2 linked regions of the Struthio camelus genome follow. The protein of the gene in region 1 interacts with the protein of each later gene in a biochemical or structural test. Links are inferred from orthologs where the notes say so. Each region holds a gene or a part of one and is shown on either strand. Other genes may lie near its edges.

Region 1 (3,920 bases):
ACTGAGAACCGGAAGAAAAAAAGAAAGGAAAACCAAACAAACAAAAAAAAAATCCCAGTGTTGTTTGTTGGACACAAGTGAGTGTGTGAAAGGCTGCAGCTGGCAAATCTGGTGCACAAACTGAGTCTGTTACAGATCCTTTTGCCTCTGAACATGCTCCAGAGTCCCCCAAAAACTCTGGCAGAGCAGCCAGTGTACGTATTGGGTTCTTACACATTTCAAGGCTGTTCAAACCATTCAGCTGAATTGCCCTAGAAACTGGTTACAAATAAAACCAAGCATAAGCATGCTAAAAATGTCACTGTCATCAGATAAGGCTGCTATGCACATACCATTCCTGACACAAGCTCATTAAAGCTAGGACATGAAAAGTTAAGCCACCAGATCACATGTGTATGGTGGCTGGGGTGGGGGAGTATGGTGAGCAGGGCTTCAGACTGCATTTTTCTTTCTGGGCCTGCCACCAGTCTGTAGGGCATCACCCCTGTGTGACTCAGTTTCCCTCGATGGGGAAGAAAAGAGGGATGTTGCGGCACCCACCTCCTTTTGAGATGTCGGAAATGCTTTGGGAAGCAACAGCAGATTGGGAGGCAAGGGATTAGCCACTCTACTTAGGAGCTGTGAAAGGCTGGTGTTTCAGAGGACAGAGCACACGCTGACTGCCAGCCCTCAGAGATCCTTACCAAACAGTCATACTTAGCACTCCAGGAGGTAGTTATCTATATTTTATAGGAGCGGAAACAGCAGCACAGCCAGCTTCCTCTATAATACAAGTCCCAGAAACACAGGGCTGAGTGAGCTAAATGCTTACCACATGGTCTTACTATTGTCAGATACTCAGGTTTAGTCAGAGGTACACAAGCTGCCAAATTTAATGAACTTCAATACCATGTACAGAGCTTTTATGGTTCTCAGGCCAAATATTTTAAGAGGCAAGACAGAAAGCATCCAGAGGGTGCAGGAGTTATGGGAATGGTTCATAGGTAGGACTCCTGTCCTTCCCCCCTCCCCATGGGAGGCACCAAGGCCAGGCACACACAGACATGCACTGAGACCCAAAGGTGTTGGCCACAAGACACTGACTGGCTCGTGTCCTCCTGTAGCTGTGATTTCAGATTACCCTGCATCTTCATCTGCTGTGTCCCAGCACAGCACCATCTCTCCTGAGCTTACCACAACAGCCACCTGGAACTGCTCACAGGTGGCATATGGCTCAAGAAAGAGAGGCTGTGCACCCTTTCCTTGAGACAAGTAACTTGGATTAGGTTAACCTAGAATGATGGAACGTCACATTCCTTCTCACCCTAACAAAGATCAGGGCTGTTGTTTGATGATTGCTCTAAGCCAGCTCAAGTTTGGGCAGCCCCCAAAAGAGGAATTCCCCTTCCCTCCTATTCTGCTTCCTCCTCCAATATTCGCACTCCCACTGCCAGCCCTAGATCACACAATCAGCTGATTGAGCTGGAAACAAATATAAACCAAAAGAATGAGAGATGTTTCCAGCTGGATCACTTTCTTGGCCCAGTTGACTAGCTAGGTGCCAGAGAGACGCTGGGAAGGCACATCTGTGAGAGGGATTATTCAGTGGCAGCCCAGACATAGGCTGGTCAGAAACAATCAGGGAATCACAGTCCAGGAGAAACCAGAAAACCCCTTTTGCAGTGACACCATGAATGAATTCACTCCATCTGCACAGGGGTCACAGGGGTTGTTATAGCATATCAGATGCAAGTGGTTGTGATCAGCCTCTGCATTAAGGAAACTCTGTTGTCAAACATGTAGGACTGCCAAAGTCATAGAGTCATTTAGTGCGGAAGGTAACACTGGAAGTCTCTAGTCCAACCAACTGCTTGGAGCAGGGCTAGTTTCAGAGTTAGATCAGAGTGCTTCACCAGGTCCAGCCGGGCTATGAAACCAAGCATGGTGATTCCACGATCTCTGTGTTGTTGCCTCTTGTCCTTTCGCTGAGCACCTCTGACAAAAGTCTGACCTAGCTTCTCTATCACCCGGCTTTGGGTAGTAGAAGGTGGTTAGATCCCTTCCCCCTCCTAACTTTCTCCTCTCTAGGCCAAACAAACCCAGCTACCTCAGCCTCTCCTTATAGAGCAGATGCTTTAGCCCCCTAGCCAGCTTACTGGTCCTTCCCCGGAGTTGCTCCAGTTTGTTAATCTCTTTCTTTCAAATGCAAAGGACCATCCTGAAACAGCCTGAGGAACTGTCTGTCTCACTTCCTGGAGAAGAACAGGTGTCTCCACCTACCTGTATAAGCACATATCTTTGTGAGTGCATTTGTTGAGGTGGGGGGGGAGGGGGGTGTACACAGTACCCGTGTTCCTGTGTGTGCATGCTAAGTGTGTTGGAGGCATGGTCACACAGTGAGAGCCAGTGCACCTACCTATCACGTAAATACTGTCTCAGAAGTTCAGCTAATAAAAGTGGGTGCAAATTCACTGAAGTTTGTGGAGCCATGCTGGTTTCTGGAGCAGAGTTTTACTGCACATACACTGCGTGAATGCCTTCTGTGAGTGCACCCAGGGACACCTGTGTATCATCCTTCTCCTTCAGTTGCTCTGTACCCTAGCAAACATGGATCCTCCTTCCCATTGTTACCAGAGAAGATGTTTACAGTCAGGTCTAAATCTGGTCAGGTAGCTTCTCAATTACTCACCTCTCAGTTATTATTCTGCTTCAGTAACTCTGAGGCTCAGGGAAACAAGGTGTACCAGGCAGTAGCTAGGACTGGAAGACAAAAGGCAGGACGACAGAAATCATGTTCTGCTCTGGCGATGTTGCCGGAGGGCAATGCATCACTGCCATGATGTCATAACTGTGAGGCACAACCTTTAAAGCATGAAAAAAAAAGAACACCCATTACTCATGGACCAGACAAGCATTTTGAAAGGAGGAGACTGAGAAGGAAGACCTTTACCTGCTTGCTGCCTAGGAACGATGGTAGGCAAAATGACGTATGATTGCAAATCAGTGGTGCCATTTGCAATAGCAGGATCCCCCCTGCACAGACAGAAGAACTGCTAATTGTAGCCTGATGTGCAATCCCTCTGGAGTCTTCATAAAGGATGGGAAATGGGGAAGGTTGAGAAGAGCTCTAGGCTCTGGATCGGGGAAATACATGGCAAAAGGGACCGAGCAGGGATGCAAGACCTCAGATATGAGGCTACCAAATAGGTCATAGACGTGATCTGCAGGCAGGAGGAGGGAGGCAAGGACAGGGCATCTCTGCACTGTCAGCTGAGTGTGCAGCTCAGCTTCCGCCTTACAAAGCCAGAAGCTCTGTGAAGAGGTGTACCTCCCCAGATGGAGGACCTGAGGCACTTCAGTGCAGGCCAAACTCTTGTTTGTGCAGTCTGGACAGATTAGGCAGGGTAGGGCCAAGCCCAGACCAGTAGCTGCCTTGTGTAAGGCACGGGCATGGGTCCTGCAGTGCTAAGTTACAGACCAGGGAAGAGGCAGCAACAGAAAGAGAAAACCTGAGGGTGCCGGTTCTCAGCTGGCCACATCCTTTCCTCATTTTGGAGCAGGAACATAGCCATCAAGCCTCTGTGTTAAGGGTCTTTGGTGCTGCAGTCCCATGATGCTGGAATATTTGGCAGAGAAGGATGAGGGATACTGGGTAAAGACCTCCTTGGCGTTCAGAGCCAAGCCAGAGCTGTGGACTTACAAAGAAGAGGAAGAAAATAAAAGAGGTCTCCTATGGGAAACAGAGATATAAATCTCTGTAATGAAGGGTGAGGTGCTCAAAGGCCTGGCTCAGTTCAGAGCAGGTCAAAGTTTGATCCTCAGCTATAAGAGATTATTACAGAGGTATAATACAATACATTTTTACTAGAAACCAAGGACAAAAACCACTGACTGTTCACATCACACAGCTCCCTTTAGCCTGCAGACAATTTGGGGGGCTG
Region 2 (3,920 bases), on another chromosome or scaffold:
GGCTTTGTAGATGTCACAGAACAGACTTTTACTGGTGAACAGGCAACTCTAGACATCTGTGAGGAAGGAGTTTAATTTTTTAGATTTTTTGCAATTAAAAACAAGTTTTTGCTAACCTCTCTCTAGCATGACGAAAGTGGAAACTTACCTTCAAGCATATAGAGGCATGTGCGAAGACATCCCAACTCAGGTTGAATTTTGGTAATGCATAGTCAGGTAATGCATCTTCTAGAGCGAACACTTCCTCTTGGGGTCCAGCCGCTTCCTCCTCATGCATAATGCCCTAGTTTTGCTAGGTTCCCCCAAATCATTTCCTCAGAGTATGTCCACTCTGCAGACTCAGGTGTAGACGTAACTCACCTTAAACGAGCTTCTCCAGGTCTAGTGCAAGTTCTTGGAGCTGGGTGGCAGCTGAGCTACCTTGGTGTTTGATGAGAAATTTTAACTTGTGCAAAACTCTGTAGCGGTAGCTCATCAGCTTCCATCACCTGAGCTACCACCTCCCACCTAACACTCAGCTACCAACACAGAGACGCAACAGAGCTCCCGGAGGAGCAATGTCTGGTTTGCTTGGTATGCTGGAAAACAGTGCTAGGGACCACTGTTTTCAAGCGAATCGCAAGGTTGATTAGGAGCCACAGAGGATGACAGAATGTCAAAGTGACCTTTTGTTTTCAGTATAGTGAATTTTATTGCAAGGTTCGATGCTGCATGGGATCAATAACAAGTTATTTCATCACAGATCAAGATGAGTCTTGATACTGGCCCAGTGTTCAGGGGGCGGATTTGTTGGTTCAGATGTCCTCATCTGAGCAAGTCACTCAAGGCTCCCTTTATCGTCATGGGAGAGGCATTGGTTCGTCAGACCTGTTTTGGACATCCATGTTGGAGTGAGCTGAACCTGAAGCGTCAGCTTGTACCCCCAGTACAAGCCCAGGGCGCTAACTCAGGCATCTGCATGGCAGACTTCTACTTCTCATCAGGTGAATCTCACCCCCAGTGTCTGCTTAGTGACCCATCCAGTCTGAGATAAGTTTCCCCTCAGGGCAGAGAGGGAGTCCGTGGCTGTTCTCAGTTCAGAAAAGGTCCCAGAGCCCCTAGTTATGGTAGCGAGGGAGAAATGAGACACTCCTGTTCCTCCTTAGCAGGCTAATGTATACTCTTCTGAAGTCAGGCTACCTGTTTGATTTTCATTTTTCAGTCATGCTGTGTACCTTGAAGGAGAGGCTGGATTCTTACGGGTGAGCAACTGGCTGTACCAGCCACACCAAACTGATAAAGCTTGAATTTTGAATCGATATCATTACAAAGGCATGTACTGCAATGTGACAAAGAGTGGTGCTCAGATACGGATATTTGCTAGCTGATAACGGTCCTCCTCGTGGGACCATTGGATGCGACAGTTGCATAAAGCACCTCAGAACAAGGCTAGCCTCCATCCTCCAAAAGAGGTCTGAGGCTATTCACGTGAAGGAGACGGCCAGACTCTAGCGGCAACATGTCCAACCTGGAAACCGCAATGGGAATGACCATTGCCGTCTTTGACAAGTACGCGAAGACTCAAGGCAATCCGCAGACTCTCACCAAAGCAGAACTAAAGACTCTCCTGGAAAAAGAGCTACCTAATTTCCTCTCGGTAAGATAACAAACACTTCAGCATCATTTCTGTATAAGCGCGAGAGCTACACGCAGACGCAGTGGTCAGCACATTGCAGAGGGAACTCCATCCAGAAAGCTACAATGGTTTGCAGGAACTTTAAGTACATCATTTGAAGAAGAAAAGGCTTTGAGCATACCGTGTAAAATTGATTCTAATATTCAGGGCCAGCCCCAGTTCACCGAGTTCATCACTCAAGTTATCAGGAAAATGGCTTTGAAATAGATTATTTTTCATTTTCAGAATTCATCTACTTCTGTTTATTCCTGGGTGTATAATCTTAGATGATGTTGCAAGTGCTGTGAAGGTGGTTTTGTTGTCAACAACTGAGGATCTTGATTGCAGTGGGGAAATCTCTCTAAGTGTTTCCGTTACACCAGTATGCACACCAAAATGATATATAAACAAGAATAAGAGCAGATTGTTTAGCAATTGTCTTTAATCTTAAAAGAAAGACCTGAGAAACTATTTTATATAATAGATTTCTCTGTAATCATCATGTACATTTAAATGGTTTCAATATTTATATCTAAATTTCTCTAGACAGGTATTCAAACCTCTTAATATATTATAGTAAATGATTAGTTACTGGGGAGACAAAATGCCTTTCATTTTCAGTCATTTTTTATTTGCTTTCCTTCACTAAAAACCTAGAAAATGGTTTAGGAGTCCTGTTCTTTCTACACAGGAGTAGTATTTATCTATCTGTGAAATTATTCTCCTTACTTGCAAAAGTCTAGGACCAAATCTTCCAAGTGCGGACACCACTTTACGTATCCAGAAAAACTGAATTTTCTAACTATGTTAGAGCACTACAGCAAAGGTAGTTCATACAATTTAGTATCTTTCCATGATACTAAGCAGTAGAGCCACAAGCAGTAGAGTTCGCTGTACGACATGTACGCCTGTTGGATTTATGACTCATTAATTAAATACAGATGCAATATACAGAATAAGAATCCAGATGGCTCTGTGTAGTTACATGAAAATGTCTCTGAAAACATAGAAAATAGATCGGTGACTGTGACTCAGAAGCGTCATGGTAAGTATCTTGCTCCCGGTCATCCTGTTTTTGTAGTGCTTTCAGTTAAAAACCAACCTGCCCTCGCCACCCAAAAAACAACTAATTGTAAGGGTGCATGGAAATCCACGAGACACTTTAGAAACTTTAGTCTTTTTTTAGACATTTGATCTAAAAAAAGTTGGGGAGCCACTGCCCTAAATGGCTACCAGATGGGATAACTCTCCAAGGTCATTCCTGAATATGTCTACTGGTCGGGCACCACTTTTTTTTTATTTCCACATGACTGATTTTATTACTTCTATTTATTTCCTGAAACAGCAGAAAGTACTGGAATTTCCCAAGGAGGTAATTAGCTAAATGTCCTTTTATGCTCTGGCTTCTGCCTCCCTTACTTCCTTTTTGTATTCTACATATTCTAGAGAACAAATAACACCAAATAACATTTTATGTTAGCAGTTAAAATAAATTTAAAAGAACGATGTTCTGTCCTGTGGGCCAATAACTACATGCAGGGCGTGACTGAGAATATAAGTCTGACTTCACCAAAAAAATGACCATTTTACCTGCTTTTTAAAGACTTTCATATATGTGTGTGTGTGTGTGTGTGTGTGTGTATGTATATATATATATTTTTTTTCAACAAGAAAGACAGGATCCTCTAAATGCTCATCTATATTTGTGGTTTAGAAAACGTTATACCTGAAAAGAGCAAACTACCTAGAAAGCTCTTTATGAGCTTCAGTCAGAATCAGAATTTCCTAATTCGTGATCAGGAGGAGAAATAAATCCATACATTGGCCTAAACTATTGGACTAAGTTACTAAGTGTTTACATAGAATAATTAGCGGGTTACATTTCAGAAGCAATTCAGAAGCTAAAACTAGTTCATGCAAGTAGCTAAATGACTGTAAATATGCACTTGTAAACTGAAAAGGAACAAAAACCTTTCAGATACATTCATCAATCAAATCTAGGCAATGGTTCAATTTTTAGTGATTTCAAAGATGCATTTTTTTTTCTTAAGTGAAACATGAAATTACATAACACAGAAACTTAGTTAATTAGCCTGTGATCCAGTAGAGCCTTCAGATTTCAGTCAAGGTAGTCATTATTCTAAATTCCGGGAATATTTCCAAAAGTTTATTTAACTTCTTCCTACCGTAATATCAGATTTATTTTTTTCTTTAGCTTCAACAAAGCCCACAGGGCAGTGGTTTCCTGTATTCCATAGGTCTCTGC

The links.
Region 2: the proteins of MYH9 (region 1) and S100P interact in a biophysical measurement, tested with the Homo sapiens proteins (2 studies listed by IntAct). The link is inferred for Struthio camelus from reciprocal best matches to the Homo sapiens genes MYH9 and S100P.

What each region holds. Positions count from the first base shown.
Region 1 is NC_090942.1:59,388,382-59,392,301, reverse strand, and holds the start of MYH9 (myosin-9), read right to left. Parts: upstream 2,842-3,920; 5' UTR 2,669-2,841; intron 1-2,668. UniProt on the Homo sapiens protein: Cellular myosin that appears to play a role in cytokinesis, cell shape, and specialized functions such as secretion and capping. Required for cortical actin clearance prior to oocyte exocytosis. Promotes cell motility in conjunction with S100A4.
Region 2 is NC_090945.1:74,099,627-74,103,546, forward strand, and holds the start of S100P (protein S100-P), read left to right. Parts: upstream 1-1,426; 5' UTR 1,427-1,498; coding exon 1,499-1,636; intron 1,637-3,920.